Caenorhabditis elegans: one gene and its partners. The main gene of each other region encodes a partner of the protein of the gene in region 4 in a complex. Each region holds a gene or a part of one and is shown on either strand. Other genes may lie near its edges. The genes, in order: dpy-22, mdt-4, sur-2 and sop-3.

Evidence for each region.
Region 1: sop-3 (region 4) and dpy-22 share a complex: the UniProt entries of both Caenorhabditis elegans proteins name them as parts of the mediator complex.
Region 2: sop-3 (region 4) and mdt-4 share a complex: the UniProt entries of both Caenorhabditis elegans proteins name them as parts of the mediator complex.
Region 3: sop-3 (region 4) and sur-2 share a complex: the UniProt entries of both Caenorhabditis elegans proteins name them as parts of the mediator complex.

The regions. Positions count from the first base shown.
Region 1 is NC_003284.9:9,819,265-9,823,973, reverse strand, and holds the start of dpy-22 (Mediator of RNA polymerase II transcription subunit 12), read left to right. Parts: upstream 1-1,700; 5' UTR 1,701-1,803; coding exon 1,804-1,911; intron 1,912-2,083; coding exon 2,084-2,191; intron 2,192-2,240; coding exon 2,241-2,464; intron 2,465-2,549; coding exon 2,550-2,793; intron 2,794-2,838; coding exon 2,839-2,936; intron 2,937-3,002; coding exon 3,003-3,179; intron 3,180-3,223; coding exon 3,224-4,709. Other genes in the region: GTPase-activating protein rrc-1, read left to right, coding at 1-10. UniProt on the Caenorhabditis elegans protein: Component of the Mediator complex, a coactivator involved in regulated gene transcription of nearly all RNA polymerase II-dependent genes.
Region 2 is NC_003280.10:4,941,551-4,945,779, forward strand, and holds mdt-4 (Mediator of RNA polymerase II transcription subunit 4), read right to left. Parts: upstream 2,400-4,229; 5' UTR 2,393-2,399; coding exon 2,315-2,392; intron 2,205-2,314; coding exon 1,950-2,204; intron 1,901-1,949; coding exon 1,646-1,900; intron 1,323-1,645; coding exon 1,086-1,322; intron 970-1,085; exon of another isoform or gene 803-969; coding exon 623-802; coding exon of another isoform or gene 613-622; 3' UTR 557-612; downstream 1-556. Other genes in the region: ZK546.19 (uncharacterized protein), read left to right, coding at 221-325, 613-768; SURF6 homolog gldi-11, read right to left, coding at 2,630-2,725, 2,776-3,072, 3,115-3,974, 4,019-4,130, 4,186-4,229. UniProt on the Caenorhabditis elegans protein: Component of the Mediator complex, a coactivator involved in the regulated transcription of nearly all RNA polymerase II-dependent genes.
Region 3 is NC_003279.8:14,784,799-14,789,713, forward strand, and holds the start of sur-2 (Mediator of RNA polymerase II transcription subunit 23), read right to left. Parts: upstream 3,006-4,915; 5' UTR 2,999-3,005; coding exon 2,888-2,998; intron 2,823-2,887; coding exon 2,629-2,822; intron 2,545-2,628; coding exon 2,163-2,544; intron 1,165-2,162; coding exon 901-1,164; intron 846-900; coding exon 673-845; intron 1-672. Other genes in the region: F39B2.3 (15-oxoprostaglandin 13-reductase), read right to left, coding at 3,420-3,971, 4,167-4,249, 4,333-4,684. UniProt on the Caenorhabditis elegans protein: Component of the Mediator complex, a coactivator involved in regulated gene transcription of nearly all RNA polymerase II-dependent genes.
Region 4 is NC_003279.8:2,773,050-2,777,756, forward strand, and holds the start of sop-3 (Mediator of RNA polymerase II transcription subunit 1.1), read right to left. Parts: upstream 3,053-4,707; 5' UTR 3,034-3,052; coding exon 2,896-3,033; intron 2,846-2,895; coding exon 2,712-2,845; intron 2,653-2,711; coding exon 2,565-2,652; intron 2,518-2,564; coding exon 2,375-2,517; intron 2,373-2,374; exon of another isoform or gene 2,336-2,372; coding exon of another isoform or gene 2,198-2,335; intron 2,146-2,197; coding exon of another isoform or gene 1,864-2,145; exon of another isoform or gene 1,863-1,863; intron 1-1,862. Other genes in the region: Y71F9B.1 (uncharacterized protein), read left to right, coding at 1,864-2,145, 2,198-2,335; Y71F9B.13 (NADH dehydrogenase [ubiquinone] 1 beta subcomplex subunit 7), read right to left, coding at 3,384-3,500, 3,938-4,049, 4,099-4,400. UniProt on the Caenorhabditis elegans protein: Component of the Mediator complex, a coactivator involved in the regulated transcription of nearly all RNA polymerase II-dependent genes.

The DNA of each region.
Region 1 (4,709 bases), on a different chromosome or scaffold from region 4:
CTCTGCATAATTGAATTTCCACCTCTTTCATGATATTTTTGTTCATTGTATTGTTGACTACTTTTTCAACTTTATTTCTTTATCGTCTTAAATTTTTAAAGAACCAGTGTTCCATTTTTTCATTTCCTCATATTTTTCTTCTACTTCTCAATTGTCTTCAAGCAATTCCTGATCATTTTTATTTTGTTTCGTGTTTTTGATTATAAATTATTTATATACAAACACACAATTTTCAAACAATTGTGATGCGTGATAACATCGCTGAATTGTATTTTTGAAATTATAAAAGAAACGCGGAATACAAGACCTAATTACTAGAATTTACTGAATTTAAATAAACACTTTTTAGTGATTTATTTCGTTTTGAAAATTTTCCGCGATCCTGATTTGAAGAATTATAACAATTTCAATCAATTCTAATTTTTATTTTCAATATTTTGTTCAAAGTTCAAAACGATATTGTGGAGTTGTAAAAAAAATTAAAATATATATTCAAATATGCATTACATTGAAACATCAATCGGGGGATTTGCCCTATGACATTCTGAAATGAAGAAACTTAGAGTTTTTTTCTTCCGTTTTCATATAATTTTATCTGACATATGACATTTTCTCTCATCATTTGTCCTTTCTCATAAATTTAAATTTGCGAGAATGTGATTCTAACTGCAGACAATACCCAGATGTTGGAATTTTTTGCGCGTAAGGTCGTTTTTAGCTTAGTTTCAAAAAAACTTCGCTGGTTTTTTGTATAATATCAGTAAACTGCCTGAACATCCGAAACCATATTCTGAAACAACGCGCATTAAAGTTATTAAAATTGCACATATTCAAATAACAAATATTATCAGTTCATGCTGATCTGTAGGTGATATGCATACTACTTGATTTCCTTTTTTTTTTTTGGGTTCACCATCTTGGAATATTAGCTCATTCACAACTCCCAAAAAAGTCTACTTTCTTATCGTTCTGAAAGTTGAAGTTTTAACGTATTTACCATTTCTTACAACAATACAATTTTCCCTGCAATTAAACAAACGACTTATGAGTGGACCATTTTGAGAAAATAGCGAGACAGTTCCGATCGATGGGTCTGTGTGCCTTGCTGTGCAGCACTCTCCATCTCTGCGTCTCTCTCTTCCATCAGTGTATTTCTTGCTGTGTTCTGTGTTCTCAGGGGCCAATTCTCTATTTCTTTCCAACTGCCTGCTACTCGCCGTTTGTGCGTTTCTTCCTCGCTTCTCTGCGTCTTTTTTACAGCCATCTTTGAATGTCATCATCCGTACTGGGGTTGATGTGTTTCTTTACAATCGATGAAAGGTGCTTTATGAATACATCTCTGTCCACATGTTGAGTTTAATTTTTCACTTTTTTTAAAAGCTCACATTGTGTTTTTTTAACTAATTGGGAACCCACAAAATTTTGAATATTGGATTTTGAACACAATTTTAGAGTTGGAAAAGTGAACTAGACATGAATGATGATATTCCAAAAAAAAAACTTTTTAATACTTATTTTTTTCACAATATTTTCTAAATAAATAGAACCCACTTTCCTTTAAATTCTTATTCGTTCCTCCTTTCATTTTTCTGTCAGTTTTTATGTTGTTATCACTTAAAAACGTCGCCTGATTGTATTTTTTCTTTTTCTTAACATATTATCTTCAAAATTTGGGAAGTTATTGCAAATAAAAAAATTTTAGCAATCATTTCGTACCCATCGACGTCAGTGGTAGACGACGAGGACGACGTCTACCCCGAGGATGGCGTCGCCTCGTGGTTTGACGAGCAGCCCGGCGAACGTATGCTCCGGAAAACCAACCTTCGAATGGGAACTGCTGATGTGTATAAACAAAACAAGAATCAAGAAGAGGATATGTTGACAACGGAACGATTAAAGAAAGGATATCAGGTGAGTGTCGTGCCAGGGCGAGGAAAAAGATGCTCAAACAGAGTGCAATGTAACTATGGAGGTACTAGGGGATGATTAGCTTGGTGTGTGGCTAGATGTTTGATGAGCGTAAAAAGAAACAGAGAAAGCACACGTGAGGATATGAATTATACAACCCGAGTTTTGATTTTAGATGCCATTAACGCAATACGAGCTTCAATCATTGGTTTTCAACGCATCGGAAAATAAGCTAATTCGTCTGGAGAAAGCTCAAAAACGATCTCAGTCTATGATTGCTTCTGTGAGTCATTTTCAACAATTATATAAGTGAGTAAATATGTTAATTTCAGGTTATTCACAAAAAAGGAGAGTTCCACATGAATTATGACAGAGAACGTAAAATTCCAAAGGAACAACTTCCGTGTTTTGCACCACATAACTGGAAACGAATTTTGTCAGATCGAGTGAAATTCTTTTCGGCATTAGCTAGAGGAACTCCTCTTCAACAACTTTCACAAAGAATCCCTGGATTTAGAAGGAAAGAACTGCTCTTTTTGGAGTTTAGCGATTATAAGTGAGTTGTTTTTAAAATTCACAATTAAAACAAATGTGAATTATACTGTGCTAACTGAAGAATGTTCTAAAGTTGCCTATTTCAGCATAAGCTACGATCGGGCAATATGGTGTGTGAAACTTCTTTGTATCCTTGGTTTCAACTCTTCAAGCAAGACACAAAAGAAAACATTACTTGACGTTGCAACTCTAGAACTGAGCCAAGCATGCAACAAAACAACAATTTGGCTCGTAACCCAGCTTTACAAATCTTTTCGAAATCCCATAAAACGAAGAGAGGCTACTAAAACATGGAATTATTTGACTGGATTCATGAAGTATATGTTTGATGTAAGAGTTTTATTTTTAACAGAAATTTTATTAGTTTTGTTATAGGATGGTGTCCTTGATAAACAGGAGTTTCTCAACGATCTCACGGAAGTTTTCAATCAGTTGTTTTTGCAGAAAAACTTTAAGAACCCTTCAGTTTTAAGGTAAGCACTGCAAACTTTTCCAAATTAGATAACCCATGAACTGATATTGTATTAATAACATTTCAGCACATTCATGAAATATTATGTGTATTTTGTCGAAGATCTCAGCTCCAGTCTGGTGTTAGCTAGACGGTCCTCCACTCTGCTTTGCCAAGCACTTGGTTTTCTATTCGAAATGGCACAGGATAAAAGGAAAATTGATGCGTACTACGATTCTGCTAATAAAACTTTCATTAAGAAAGAGTAAGACTTAAATTTATGAGAGTTACAAAAAATCAAAAATTCAGATTTGAAAATGAAGATGGCGAAATTTACGAGTTTGAAGATTACGATGACTTCATTGATATGTTGGACGAGATTCCTGATGTACCCTACTTTGATGAGACTGACAAAACACCAGAAGCACAAGCTGAAGAACTTATCAAGCAGCATGAAAAACGAAAGGCAGGCTCACTCAAAAAGTCTGAAAGGAGGAGAAGAAGAGGATTGTCAAAAAATCGGCCAAAAAAAATGCCACAGAATCCTTCGAATGAAGCTTCTCTTGATCACGATAAAGTACAGATTAAACAAGAACCGATGGACTATGATGAGTATGGAGGTCAACAATCAGACAATTCTATGGATTATGACTCTTTCTCACATCAATATGATCCATCATATGAGCCTTTACCTTTCAAGCCACTTCACACAGATATTCCAAAAAAACTCACTGACGATGAGGAGTTCAAGTACATGAAGATAGGCAAGAGATCTGTCACTCCTGAACGTATTAGTGGTCGCTATGGTTCAATGACGTATCCTTTCTGGATTCAGCAGGGCGGAGTTGGAATTGATCCACCAAAAGATGAAGTACTGGATTTCTCCAATCCAACACCAACGGAAACTGTCAACACGCAGCCACAAATTGATTTTGAATCATCTCCCAGCGCTTCGCCAGCTCTTTCTGTCGATAAAGAAAATGAATGTGAAAAGAAAGAAGATGAATCTAAAACTAAGGAGAAGAACAAAGATAAGGAGAAAGACAAGGAAAAAGAAAAATCTGTTGATGAGCATACGAATGATCTGGATGTTCCGATAAATCCTGACGATGCTGAAATGGCTGATGCAAATGATAAAACCGATGCTTCTGAAAAACAAAAATTAGTTGAAGAAGAACCTACCGGCAAAGAAAATGAAGATGATACCAGTTCAAAAACGGCAAAGACGTCTACATCAGCAGAGAAATCCGAAGCTCCCTCCATTGTCGATTCTAATGACAAAATTGATAAGGAGCCAAATGCAAGTTCAACAAGTAACGATGAAACTTCTAAAGATGACACAGTTCCCATGGAATCAGATCCACCAGCTGCCACTGAAAAACCAAAAGAATCCACTGAAATTACCACCGAGGAACCACTGGAAGTCGACAAAGCGCCTGAAGTTGATAAGTCTGAGAAAGAACACGAAGATGATATTATGATCATTGAGTCCAACAAAAAAGCAGACGAGGATGACTGTGTTGTTATAGCTGTGGTGGATCCTGATCAGGAACAAACTCCGGAAAGTGAGAAGAAAAAAGATGGCGAAGAAGAAAGGGACAAAAACAAGGATACAGATGTGGCGGATAACGAACCCGAGAAAATTTATACCGACGAGGAACTCGCTGAAATCAAAATCCGCAAAGAGAAGGAAATGAAAATTGCAACTTTGGCTTCCCATATCAAAGAGAAAATGGTGTCAGACAAAAAATGGAAAGAGAAAACTAGCCACGCAGGATGGAGAACACTTGATCAA
Region 2 (4,229 bases), on a different chromosome or scaffold from region 4:
TTGTATTCAAGAATCAGGACCGCCCATCTATATCTAGATTAGTTGTGTGGAGGCAAGTCAAAAGAAGATGTGTGGGAATGTGTCTGATGGGAGAGATAATTTCTTATCTATTACCAAAGGGCAAGTAATATAAAATGACATAAAAAACGAAAGGAGGCGAAATTTTACAACTTCAACTTTTCTTCAAACTGATTTGAGCCCACAAAAACAAAAAAAAGTGATGGCTAACAACACTTTCACTGCAACATGTTTTGTGCATCTTTTCACGTACTCCGCATCTCTCTTGTCATGGGTGGTCCCTTTCGTTTCTGCGTCTCTAGATGGGGTGAGTGTTTTTTTAAAATAAGATTTGAATCAAAAGCTAACTTAGGTATATTCCAAAATTTGGCATATTTCTAAATATAATTAGTTACTAGAATTGTTGAAAAAAAAGTTCAAGGAGTAAATAGATTAGAGGACATAAAGAAAGAAAGAAAGGCAGCTGGCATAGCGGTAAACATGGCGTGGACACTGAACCACATGCAATCAGTTAGTGTCACTGTTAAACACAAGATATATAGAAAATTGTGTTTATTTATCAACGTACAATAAGTAAAATACCAGAATTTACAGAGATCTTTCATTATTTATTGCTACTGCCAGTCTTTTTCGATGCGCCTTCATCATCTGAACTATCTGACGAGTTGGAGCTGTCCGACGACATTTGTTCGACATCCCGCACATCTTGAACTTGATCGATACCTCCTGGACGATTCGGAAGTCCAGTAATTTTCAGCTTCACGTTTGGCGAGGAAGAAGGACTCTGAAAATATGTTATTTATTGGAAAATTATAAAATAGCAGATAAATGTAGCCATATTTAGATGTTCCGCGCCTAAGAAGACGAAGAATGATACCTATGGCGTTGTTATAGCACACGTAATCAACGATAAAGCCTTTGAAGCCGGCAATCTCGACTTTCTGTGTGCATTGAGAATCGAACTGGTGGACAGCTGAACAACGGGCAAACGCGTTACCACTGCGCCACCCGTGCATCATTTGCGGGCCGCCAGTAACACTGTCTATGTACACTCGGTTTGCACTGACCTGCGAGACACGGTTGTAAGGGGATTGCGTTGAGGTGGCTCCTGAAACTCCCGGATTCTGCCATTGCTTTTCATTTGGAGTGGCTCCACGGAGTACTTGCTGTTGAATCGGTGGAGGCTCGTCGGTGCCAAAACCAGTTCGTGGACTGAAATCTCCAGTCGGAGCAGAATTAATAAGAGGAGTGCCGACAGTTCGAATTGGAGCTGTTCCACCGTTGGATGAGGATGCGGATGGAGACTGAAATAATATTGATTGAACGTTGAATCTTAATTTTATTTATAAAATTTACTACGAATAACGTAGAAGGAAAGAGATCACAATATGAACTGAATATTTCTTATCACTCATAATTTGATCATTAGAAGGAATGACTGTTAGATAATGTAAGAAGATAAGACATAAATCACGTGATTCACAGCTGTTCGGTTACAGTGTGAAAAGAATTTCAGATTAACGTAGAAAACATTAGAAGTATTGCATTTATATAAATGCATTTATAAATGCATTTATCAAATATTTCAGGTGAGGATTCACATTTCAACAAGTTTCCATAAACATACCGTAATAAGCGGCCTCTGAGCGACGTTCTTTCCGGGTAAAAGCTGAGGTCCAGTGCTCTGAACTTTTGAATTCAATAGGTGACCAGCTCGAAATTCGTGTTCCTGAGGAAACGGACGCGATGGATCTCCCATTTGCCAAGTGAGTGGTGCAGATACGGAGTTGTGCTTACTGATCTGATGAGCCAGTTTGATGAGCATCTCACTATTGACTGGTCTCAATTCAGCTTCTTTCATTTGCTTGAGCTTCTGGTTTGCCTGAAATAAACGTATTTCGAAAAAAGTCTTTGTTTCCAACAAAATTTACATGAAAACAAGATCGCGTCAGAGCCACCTCACATGACTTCAAATTCGTTTCAAGTTGTTGAATAACTTCGTCTCGTTTCTCCACGTGGGCTTCAAGCGTCCGAATGAGCTGCTCTCGTTCTTGAAACTCAGGAACCCTCTTCAGCAAAGTCTTTATGCTATCCTGTTTTGAGTCAAACAGCTTGATAATGTTCGTAACGGTTTCTCCATTTTTCAGCATAACACTTTTGTCCCGATTGATGAGTGTATCGACGATCTGAAACAATAATTGATTATGTGGGTTCATGAATTCTATAAGATGAACTCACAGTAAAAAGTAATTTTAAAATAAACTATAATATTGTTTCAAATTTTTTTAGAACGTACCATTTTAACAATATGCTCCAAATCATCTGCAGATTCCAGGAGCAAATCCCGTAGACTTCGTTCATCTGTTTCTGCCATTTGAGATCTAGAACAATACAACCATCGAACATACATTAACAACTTTTAAAATAATTAATTACCGAAACAACGGCACAAGTTTCAAAAAAAAAGAGAATATTTTTCAAAGAATTTAGTATAATTTGAAAACTTAAAAACTTAACAACAGGCCACAGATTTAAAGAAAAAAGTTAACAGTAAAAATTAACAAAAAAATGTTCAACAACGAGAAATTAAAAGCGGATAAATGTGTGTTGTTTAGAGGATTCTTCCCTTGTTTCTCAACTTGTTCATCTTTCTCTTCTTGACGTCATCGATGCGCTTCTGGAGATTCTTCTTTCTCTTGTCTTGCTTCTGAAAAATAAAAATTCAAATCTTAAAGGATTTTCTACCAATCAACATACCGTTTGCTTCTCTCCCTCCGTCTTATTCTCTCGGTTCTCCCATTTCTGCTTTCTTCTATCCTTCATCTTATTCTTCTTCACCAAAGCCTTCTTGAGCATTCCCAAATTATCTTTCACTTTTCCACCAGCTGCTCTTTTCAGTGTTTTCTCCCACTTTAGCTCATCTTCCATGATGGTAGCCTTATGTGGATCAGCTTCGCGAACTTTGGCAATTGTTGCTTTTGTCTCTTCGACTTTAGCGATAAGTGATTTATAGTCACGTCCGGTAAGTTTAAGAGCTCGATCTTTTTTGGCGGTCTGAAAATTTCAGATATTTCAGATAAAAATATTTTTACTCACTCTTTGTTTCTTGCCCCTCTGCTTGTCTTCTTTGATTTCAAACTTGAGATTATTGAATGAAATTCCAGATTTCTGCTTCTCGACAGGCTCATTGCCATTTTCTGTGCTTTCAACAGTCTCTTTCTTCACTTGAGCTGCTGCCTCTTTTCCTTTCTTCTCCTCTGCTCTTCTTTGTTTCAGCTTCAGCTTGCTCTCCCGTCTTTTCAAACGCTTCTCCTCTGCCATTTTTTCAGCCATCGCTGATGTTACCTTCGCCGGTCCTTTTCCTTTCCGCTCAACTTTCATTTCCTTCAGCTTTTTCTGCAGTCTCAGCAAAGCGATTTGACGTCTGATTTCGGGGGATTCATTGTCTTCATCGTCTTCCAACTTTTGAATCTCCTTGTCAATTTTTCCATTCGATTTCAGAGTAGATTGTGCTACGGTTTTGTTGGGTTTAGATGGTGTTTCTTCTTCTTCGTCCGTTGAATCGCTGTCCTCAGCCTCTACAGCTCCATTATTTCCTTCAGGCTCTTCTCCATCTTCACTGTCTTCATCATCATCTGAAGATTCTTCTTTCTTTTGCTTCTTAGCAACTGGCTCGTCTGTTTCTTCTTTCTCCTCGTCGTCAGATGAATCATCCTCTTCTGAATCAGAATCAGCTTTCTTATCTTGCTTTTTCTGGTCTTTCTTCACTACTTTTTCTTTATTCTTGTTCTGATCCGCTGGTCTCTTCACCGGTGCAACAACCTTTTGTGGTTGCACTTTCGAATGCTGCTTGCTTTTAGACATCCACTCGAGGACTTCTTGAACAGTGTTTGGAACCAATCCTAAGCCTTTCGCCAGATGTTGTTTCTGTTGTGCAGACATTGACTTTCTTTCCTCTGAAAAACATACAGAATTTTAAAGAAATTTATCAATAAATTACTTTTGCTGAGTTGTCGATTAACCAAACTGTGTTTTCGCATCTTCAATGATTCTTTGACATCATCATCAAATCCCCAAGAGTTAACTGGAATCAGGTTGCAGAAGGAGAGCATCTGAAATTAAAATGTTTTGTTTCTCGGCCACTTTTCGAGGATGTGTGTACGCTACCTCTTTTTCAAGAATGTCCACTGCATCTTCTACAGCTTCTAATG
Region 3 (4,915 bases), about 12 Mb from region 4:
TTGGATTTTTTAAAAGAAAAAGTTACAAGAAAAATTAAAGATTTTGGTTTTCAATTTTTCTAAATGTCGGAAATCTAAAGTTTTGTTTTTTGGTAAATTTTTTTTTAAAAACATTTCAAGAAAATCTTAAGTTTCGGTATTTTTTTTCGAAATTTTATTTAAGAAGTGAAAAATTGGATTTTTCTGGAATTTTCTAAGAATAATTGAAAAAAAGAAATATTTTGGTTTTTCGATTTTTTTTTGAAGGTCTAAAAGTCAAGAACATTCAGATTTTTGAAGAATTTTCAAAAGATTTTGTTTAAATTATAGCTTTTATCCTAAGAATTTTGATTTTGGATTTTTTTTTCCTTCAGAAATAAACCAAAAATTGAAACGCTTAGTTTTTAAATTAAATTATTAGCTCTACTTTCAAATTTCTGGCTTTTCAAGACAATTTTGAAATTCAAAACTTGTGTTTTTCAAATAGAATCTTTTTTTTTTCGATTTTCTCTTTGAAAAACCCAAAAATTTAGCTTTCCTGAATGTCGGAAATCGAAATGTTCGGATTTTTTAGAATTTTACTTTAAAAGTAAAAAATTGGATTTTTTTTCTGAATTTGCGAAAAATAATTGAAAAAAGGAATATTTTTGTTTTTCGGGTTTCGCAAAATCGAAAAATTTGAAATACACTAACAATAAATGTTGTGTAATCCCATAAATAACAATATTAACAATATTGTCCCATTGATATCGTGGAATTGGCTCAGTTTCCGGTAGAGATTCTGCTTCGGCCATTGATTCACATATCATTACAGATATCAACATTTCCCAATTTGTCTTTGTCTTCGTTTTGCTCGGAGGATGAAGCTGAAACTTAATTCGGGATAAGTTATTTAAAATATATATATTCTCAATTTCATACCGAGTCCTTTCCCAATGGCTGACGAAGAATCATGTAGAGGGTGTACAAGTATGTAGAAGTATGTTCAGGACGATATGGAAGTGTATGATGAGGTTGAACAATTGTATTACTGGCATTTAATCCATGTTCTTCCCAACACGATGTTAATGGATAGAATGATGGATGTAGTGGAATGGGGTAAACGAATCCACGGCCACACACGTGGGATAGGTCGGCAATTGGTCGGAAATGGACGGATAAGCTTGCCAGTTTCTCCGTTAGTCTCTGTAATATTTGGCATTTTAATTTAATCTTAAGAAATATAGGCTTGGTAAATGAATCGAGATGGGTCGATCCGTGACTCATCTCGAGCCGCTTTTTGCAAAAAAAATCCACAATTGCCGGAATTGAAATTTCCGGCAAATCAGCAGATTGCCGGAAAATCAGCAAATTGCCGAAATTTTTCGGCAAATTGTGGTTTTGTACATTCAGATAATTTTTCGTCGATGAAGGTGATTTTTCAGTCAATCAGCATACAAATCAGGGGTGTGTGGCAAACGATTTTTTCGGCAAATCGGCAAAGTGCCGGAATTGAAATTTCCGGCAAATCGTGAAACCGGCAAATTTCCGAATTTACCGGAAAAATACCAATTGTCGAAAATTTTTGGCAAATTGTGGTTTCGCACTAATTTTTTGGGAATTTCAGAATTGTACGCATCCTGTGAGTGTTTGAATGTTTTTTTCTACATCTTTTTTGAAAAGTAAGCAAATTCTATAAAAATATCTGAGGAAAAGGGAAAAACAGCCCAAAAAGTCACAGTTTTAAGTGTTTCAGTCTTATGAAAAAATCCCTCAAAACATTTGCGGAAAATTTAACATCCGGTAAACGGCAAATCGGTAAACCAGCAAATTGCCCGATTTGCCGAACGGTAATTGCCGCCCACCCTTGGTAAAAACTTCAAATAAAATGTTGAGAAACTGAAAATTTAGAAATCAGAAGAAATTTCCCGTCATTTTTTTATGGCTTAAATTAAGTTTTTTAAAACTTCTGTAGTATTCAATTTGGTTTACTTTCTGTAACTCAAAAACTAAATGCACAGAAATTAGAAACTTTGCGAGAATGGTCGAACTTTTTTTTGGTTTCCGCCAAAAAAAAATTCGACTTTTTGAATGTAGAGAGATCTTTTTTTTGTGTTTTTTTTGCCGAAAAAAAAAATTAACAAATCTAAATTTTTACATTGTCTTTATATTTTCAGCAATTTTTTTTAAAATTTTCCCCTCACCGGCAGCATAAGCGCCTGTTTCGGCATTCCTCTCATAATTTCTGATAATGTGATGAGTGGAGGCATCAAATTGGAGTCTCTATCCACAATATGCAGTATTACATTCTCAACAATGCGGATTTCGTTTACTTGCTCCGGAGATAGTGAATACGGTAGGCGACGGAGCTGTGATTCCAGAATATATCGGAGGATATTCCGAATTCCTTTGTAATCGATTTTTGGAATGCAATCATTGATGAATTTCCATTTTTCTTGGCATATTCTACTGCATAATCGGAAGTCCGAAGTCATTATGAGTCCTTCTGCGCACAGATTCGTTGAAATCGCACCTTTTTGATGAGCATATCGGAGAAGCTGATCTACGACACGTTCGTAGTTTGTTCTGGAATAAAACACTGTTAAAACCTCTGATTATATGCAAAAGAACTGTTAAAATTGTTTTTTTTTCGAATTTTTAAATTCTCACCCAACAAAAACTCGATCAGGAGAGTTCTTTTCCGCCACGTGATGAACCATTTTTATTAGCTCTTTCACTAAAGATTGTTTTTCTTTTTCTTCCATTTTACTCATCATATTATTGAATTGAATCCGTAAAATCGCCGTCTCGTCGCCAATATTCGACGTAAGAGGTCGAAAAAATTTTCTTGTGTGGTTTTCTTCCTAGAATATATTTTTATGAGTTATGTTTAATTTTTTAAGCGTTATTTTTGATTTAAAAAACTCACAACGAGACTTTTAATTTGACTCTTTATTCGATTGACTTCCTGAACAAATTGCGGAGAGCACGTGTCATCCATTTCAATTGTATCTTCTGCGGAACCAGGTTTATCCGTCATTTTGTTGCCTGAAAATGTAATAATTTTCAAAAGAAAAATGTTAAAATAATAAATTGAAACAAAATAGGTTGATAAAAATTAAAAACGCATTGTTTGAGAAAGATATTACTGCGCCTCTTCTCTCTCACGCGTGACAATAGAGCGCGCTTGGTGTGTGGTCTCTTCGTTCACGCATATTCTGCGGATTTGAACTCTACCAGAGTTCTGCGAAAAAACTACTACATATATAATACATTTCACACATTTAAATATCTTGACTTTTATTGTAGGTAAACTGACATTTGGACTGATTTGCCAAATTTCTGTTGAAAATCAGTTTCAAGAAGCTGAAATCTAGATTAATTTATTTTTTTCATATCTTCATAAAAAGTACAGTTTATTCTCATTTACATTCCTTTAAATGGCGTGTTAAAATAATGAATTAATGTTCGATTTGCACTACAAGATTTCCTTTCGCTCCCTTGTTGTTCATAATTTCCTCATGAGCCAGTCCTAATTGCTCGAGACGATACAATTTGTTTATAAGTGGACGAAACTCGGTTTCCTTCAAGAATGAGACAATGTTGATGCCAAAGTCCAAGAGCTCAGCCTCGGAAGACATTCCCAATGCTACACCGTAAACAGCTCCTTCTGTAACCATAAGTTGTCTTGCGTTGATCGTGGTCTCGGCGCGATTTCCAATTACTGCAACTCTACCACGTGGAGCCAGCAATCCGAGGTCCGTGTTCAGATTTGTGTGAGCAGCCATTTCGAAAATGTGGTTGAAGCCTCCTGGATAATCATTTTTCATTTTCGACACATATTGCTTATCCGAATGATTATAGACATTCCGTGCACCAAGACTCTTCACGAACCGGATCCCATCAGCAGATCCAGCAGTGCCAACAGCTTCAATGTTCCTCCAGGCAGCCAGCTGCATCAGTGCACTTCCCACTCCACCAGATGCTCCGTGTACAAGTATAACGTCGCCAGTCTGAGAAGAGAATTAGTTTTGGGAGGGAACAGCAGATGGTCGTATTTTAGACCGCCCCTTGTTTGAGATGGAACAGATGGTCAAGTTGGCTTTGTAAAGATTGATTTGTATTGATTTTGCCTCCTAATTTTGATACGTTTTTGCCAAAATTTTAATATTCTCTATGAACCATTTAATAATAAATAAAAGTCAAACCTTTGCACCAGCAAGATGAAACAATGCACGATAAGCGGTAAGATAAGGCACTCCGAGAGAAGCTCCTTCCTCAAACGAAACTCCTGAAATGAGATTTTAGCTATATCTTAGGTCTCGCCACGCGGGCAACTAGCTACAGTAACCCGTTGCGCAATGATTCTTTTACCTTCCGGCAACTCGAATGGTCGATTCACCGCAACATACTCTGCTGTACTGTCCGCTTCTGATCCATACCAGACTCGATCGCCGACTTTCACATTTTTAACGCTTTCTCCCACAAGTTCGACGAATCCGGCTCCATCTTTTCCTGGTACATATGGAAGATTTGGTAGTTTTCCATACTGACCAGCACGAATATATGTGTCAACTGGATTGACACCGGCAGCGTAATTCCGAACGAGAACCTGGTTTTTTTCAAGCCTGGGCATATCACTCTCGACGGCTTCTATGACATCAGGTGCTCCGAATCGTCGGACTACAGCTGCGCGCATGCTTGATTTGCAAATCGATTTGCTCATTGTTCTAAAAATGGCACTTATCAGTAATATGAAATGCGTACTCGCACTGATTAGGCGCACGGATTTATTCGGATGGGTCTCGCAGCGAGAAAAATGTTATGGTAACACTTTGTGGCGGGACCAATCCGAATCAAACCGTGTACCTTTAAGTACGCGTTCAGAAAATTGCGAAATTACTATATTTTTGCAACTTTTGTTTCATTTTTCCGTAAAAGGTTTGAGTAAATGTTT
Region 4 (4,707 bases):
GGACGAGGAAAAGTGGTTTCTAGGCCATGGTCGAGGGGCCGACAAGTTTCAGCGGCCATTTATCTTGCTTTGTTTTTCGCTTGTTTTCTTTTGTTTTTCACAGCTTTTTCCCGTTTTTTCTTATTAAAACTGATAAATAAATACTTTTTGCAGATGCTAAAACAATTTCCAACTGAAAAAATTATGTATTCAGTGGGCAAGCAGCTGTGAAAGTGGGCATTGTAATATGATGGATTACGGGAATACAAAACCTAAACTTTTTCTGAAACATGATACATATGCTGCTTAAATGCTGAGACTACCTGATTTTCATAACGAGACCGCTGAAAAAGTTTTGAGGTTTTCAAAATTCAACTTTTTGTGCGAAAATCTCGACTTTTTCACCAAAAAAGTTGAATTTTGGAAACCTCAAAACTTTTTCAGCGGTCTCGTTATGAAAATCAGGTAGTCTCAGCATTTAAGCAGCATATGTATCATGTTTCAGAAAAAGTCTAGGTTTTGTATTCCCGTAATCCATCATATTTGACCATTGACCACTTTCACCGCTGCTTGCCCACTGAATACACTTTTTTTTACTTGGAAATCGTTTTGGCATCTGCAAAAAATATTTATTTATCAGTTTTAATAAGAAAAAACGGGAAAAGGCTGTGAAAAACAAAAGAAAACAAGCGGAAAACAAAGCAAGATAAATTGCCGCTGAAACTTGTCGGCCCCTCGGCCATGGCCTAGAAACCAATTTTCCTCGTCTCTCGTGAGGAAAAAGTTGCAGTGAAATTCTAGATTCTAGCAAAAATCAGCAATTTTTCCCTGAAATTTCAAAGTTCCCGCGCATTTTGAGTCTAATAAAACAGTTTTATCGTAATTATCATCATATTCCCCTTGTTTGACCTTCATCTCTCTTATCAAAAACTACAACATACATATCTTCGTCCGTCTGCGTCTCTCACAACTAGTTATTGCAACAAAAAAAAAAACATTCAGAAGTGGTCATACTTTCATCCATAAATTCGTTTTCTTTTTCTGAAAACCACCTTCAAAATACAGAAAATCTCGTTTTTATCGAAATTTTGGCTTTAAAATAGTTTGAATTTCATTGATTTTTTTATTTTCTCGTTTTTGTAGGGAAATTTTCCTGTATATTATATTTTTAAATAAGTTTCATATAAAATTTTTATAGCTGTATATAAAGGAACATCGAATAGAAAAATAGATATTTTTAACTATTTTCTATAACTTAAAGGTAGAGTAGTCGAATTTTTTAAAATTTCTTTATTAGACTCAAAATTGTCTGAAAACACCGAATTTCATAATGAAATTTCTTGAAAACTTCTCAAAAAAAAGTTATGGCCTCTCGAAAATGGCCTAAAATTAGTGAAAATTTGAAATTTGACCAACTTAAATATCTTTGTCGCAGCAGCTGGAAACAAATTTTTTTTTGAAACTGTCGTCTATTTTTGAGTAAACAAGTAGATTATCTTGCGTTTTCAGTTTTATTAAGGTATTTAAAAGTCGATGGACGAAGAGATTTTTCAAATTTTTTTAATCAATTCTCTTCGTCCATCGACTTTAAATACCATAATAAAGCTTAAAACGCAAGATAATCTACTTGTTTACTCAAAAATAGACGACAATTTCAAAAAAAAATTGTTTCCAGCCGCTGCGACAATGATAAGTTGGTCAACTTCAAATTTTCACTAATTTTAGGTCATTTTTTGAGCGTCATAATTTTTTTTGGAAAAGTTTTCAAGAAGTTTCATTATCAAATTCGGTGTTTTCAGACAATTTTGAGTCTAATAAAGAAATAAAAAACTCAACTACACCACCTTTAAATCAAAATTTCACAAAAAATGGTTTTTTTCTAGAATGTTCCTCCGCGCCACTGAATCAATTCTCGGTTTGGGCCTTCTGGCTTACGGCCTTCTCGAAATCTCGAGAAATCCGACCTGGTGGGCCTATACGCCGGTCTACTTGGTCCCGGCGATCCTCTCCATCATTCAAATTCCACGGAACGCCACGTGGCGCACTCTCTCATCCCTCTCCATCGTCGCCGGCGGTCTCTACACGAGTTTTCTGCTGTGGACGTTCTCCTCTGTGGAATCTATACCGACGATCGATTTGGAAGAAGAAGCCAAGAACCTTCCGCCGGTAATATATTATTGATTTTTATTCTTAAATGATTCAATAAAAATCGTTCCAGGTAGCCCTTGGAGCCCTGCTGATCAGCTTCATCCGTCTCACACAGGATAAGATCTCCCAGCCGGTGCATTATGTCAGATCTTCGATTATTCTCGCTGTCGCTCTCATTAGTTTTTACGCTTTTATTTCATATTTTTAGTTTTCTTTTCCTCTGAAAAATAAATATTATTAGCTTTACAATGTAATTTCCTTCGGAAGTGAGGACAAAATCGCGGTTATCGAATCGCGAAGCTTCGAGAATTCTCCATTTTTCATTAGAGCTAGAGCTCCTGGAGCATCAGTGAGCGGTTGACCGAAATAACCGATTTTGCAGGTACTAATCTGAAAGATAGCTTTATTGTTTTGGTAAAATCCCGTATTCAACGCACTTGATCCTCTGCAACACCAATGTCGATTGTTACATCAGGATTTCTGATTGAAAATCCACTATTTTGAGTTGAAAACACGCAATGTTCTCTGAAAAAAAAATTATTTATAAAATTTTTAATTTAAAAAAAATTTAAAAAAGCACTCACCCTAGGCCTTCAGATAATTGTTGAACTTTTCGAGCAATAGTAGCATCATTATCAATTGGTAAATGCTCTTTCATAAAAACCAGAGAGCCAAGAACGTCGAGACGGGTTCGTGCATCGAGTGTTTGCCTTTTCTCCTGAAAATTTGATTTTTTTTTCAATGAAAAACGGTGGAGATTGCAGTTACCAGCAAATTCCTCCTGACAGATCTCGCAAAATGCTCCCATCCCAGCTTTTCTGCGCTTTGGCGGACATTTTCCATTCGCAAATCTCGATCGATCGACTCCAGGTTTAACTCATGATTTTTCCTCTCTTCAATTATCATGGTAGGTTTCGCTACCTGAAAATCGATAAATATTTAATTATTTGCTGTTTAATAATATAAAAATTGAGAAATTTTAACGAGAAACCCATTAAAAATGCAGTTTAAAATAGAAAATCGGTGCAAAAAATATTTTGTTTTGCTGCGAACGACACTCCGTTATAACGCGGCGCGTGTTGTTTAGCAGGCGGATTTTAGGCCACAGCCACTGGCATCAATTGGCGGGTGTTTGAATTTAGATAATTCGTCTCAGGGTTTAAAACCGGTTTTCTGCAGAAAAAATCGATTTTCAAGTTATATTTTATTAACAAAAATACATCATGTTTCATTAATAATCTACAAACAAAATCAATTTATTCATCATCCTCGTGGTGTCTGGTGCGGTGGCGGCGGAGAGTCTTGATATCTTGATCCCGTTGGGCCATTTGTTCAGCAGCCTGGTCACGGTCACGGCGGTATTCTTTGTAGTTCTGAAAAAGAGAAGGAAATGTGATTTTTAAAAAAAAACGTTGTTTGAGCTCAATTGAGAGGAAAGGTCTTGGCGCGAGCGTTGCAAAATTAAACGTGCGCACGGGGTTCTGGCCTTCCTCATTGAATTTTTCGCGCTCCATTGACAATCGCCTGCCGGAAAACACGTGGGAAAGTACTCCACACGGGCAAATACATTTAGTTTTACAACTAAAATCGAGCCGCGACGCGACACGCAACGCTCCGTAAATCTATGCCAGATATGGCCGAGCCTAAATGACCTAGTTCGGCAAACTCTTCCATTTCAATTTATGAGGGAAGCCAGAAATCCGTGGAAAAGATTAAAAAAAGGAGATTTTCAACTAAAAATACATGGTTTTTTTCTTTAAAAATTCGAAAAATCGATGGCCTAGTTTTTTTTGAGTCCTAGGCCACCTACCAAATACGCCTGGGGTCTCTGCCCATTGCTGGCGCGAACACAGTAGAACAAGTCGTGAAGGCAAGTTGGAAGATATGTCTGTTGAAGCCCAATGTTCACAATATTATCGGCTCTGAAAAAAAACAAGTTTTATTATTAATTTTAAAAAAATTTAAATTTACCTGTTATATGGATAATGTCCACCTTTTGCAAATTTATAATCATTCTCAAGCTGTGCCATACTTGCCGGCCGTCCGTCGAAGAATCCGAGATAAGTTGGTGGATAGTAATTCGGGTAGTACCAGTTACCGAACTGCCCGTAGTCTCTGGCGGTATTCTCATTATAGTAGATATACTTTGGCAGGACTCTCGGCGAGTTTTCGTAGGTCCTCTGGTAGAATGTGTCGGCGACCTGGCGGTTGGTGGTGTCCGCCAGTTTTCCCGGCCCGGGGCCTCCGCCGCTGAAATTGCAGTCCGCGACGAACTGAAAGTTGGGAAGGTTGCACATCATTTTTCGAGTCTCGCAGCGAATTATAACTTAGTCTTGACACGACAATTATCACGTGGTGTCAAAGTGCCCCAAATGCGGGAGAAGAGACGCAGACTTTTAAACTAATTTCGCATAGTTAAGAGTGTGCTGAGAGAAAAATTCCAGCATTTTTTGTAGATCAAACCGTCATGGGACAGCCTGACACCACGTGAATTATTGGTTAAATGGAAATGAACTGTGCGCCTTTAAAGATTACTGTAGTTTCACCGATTTCCCATAGATTTTCTCACGATTTTTCAAA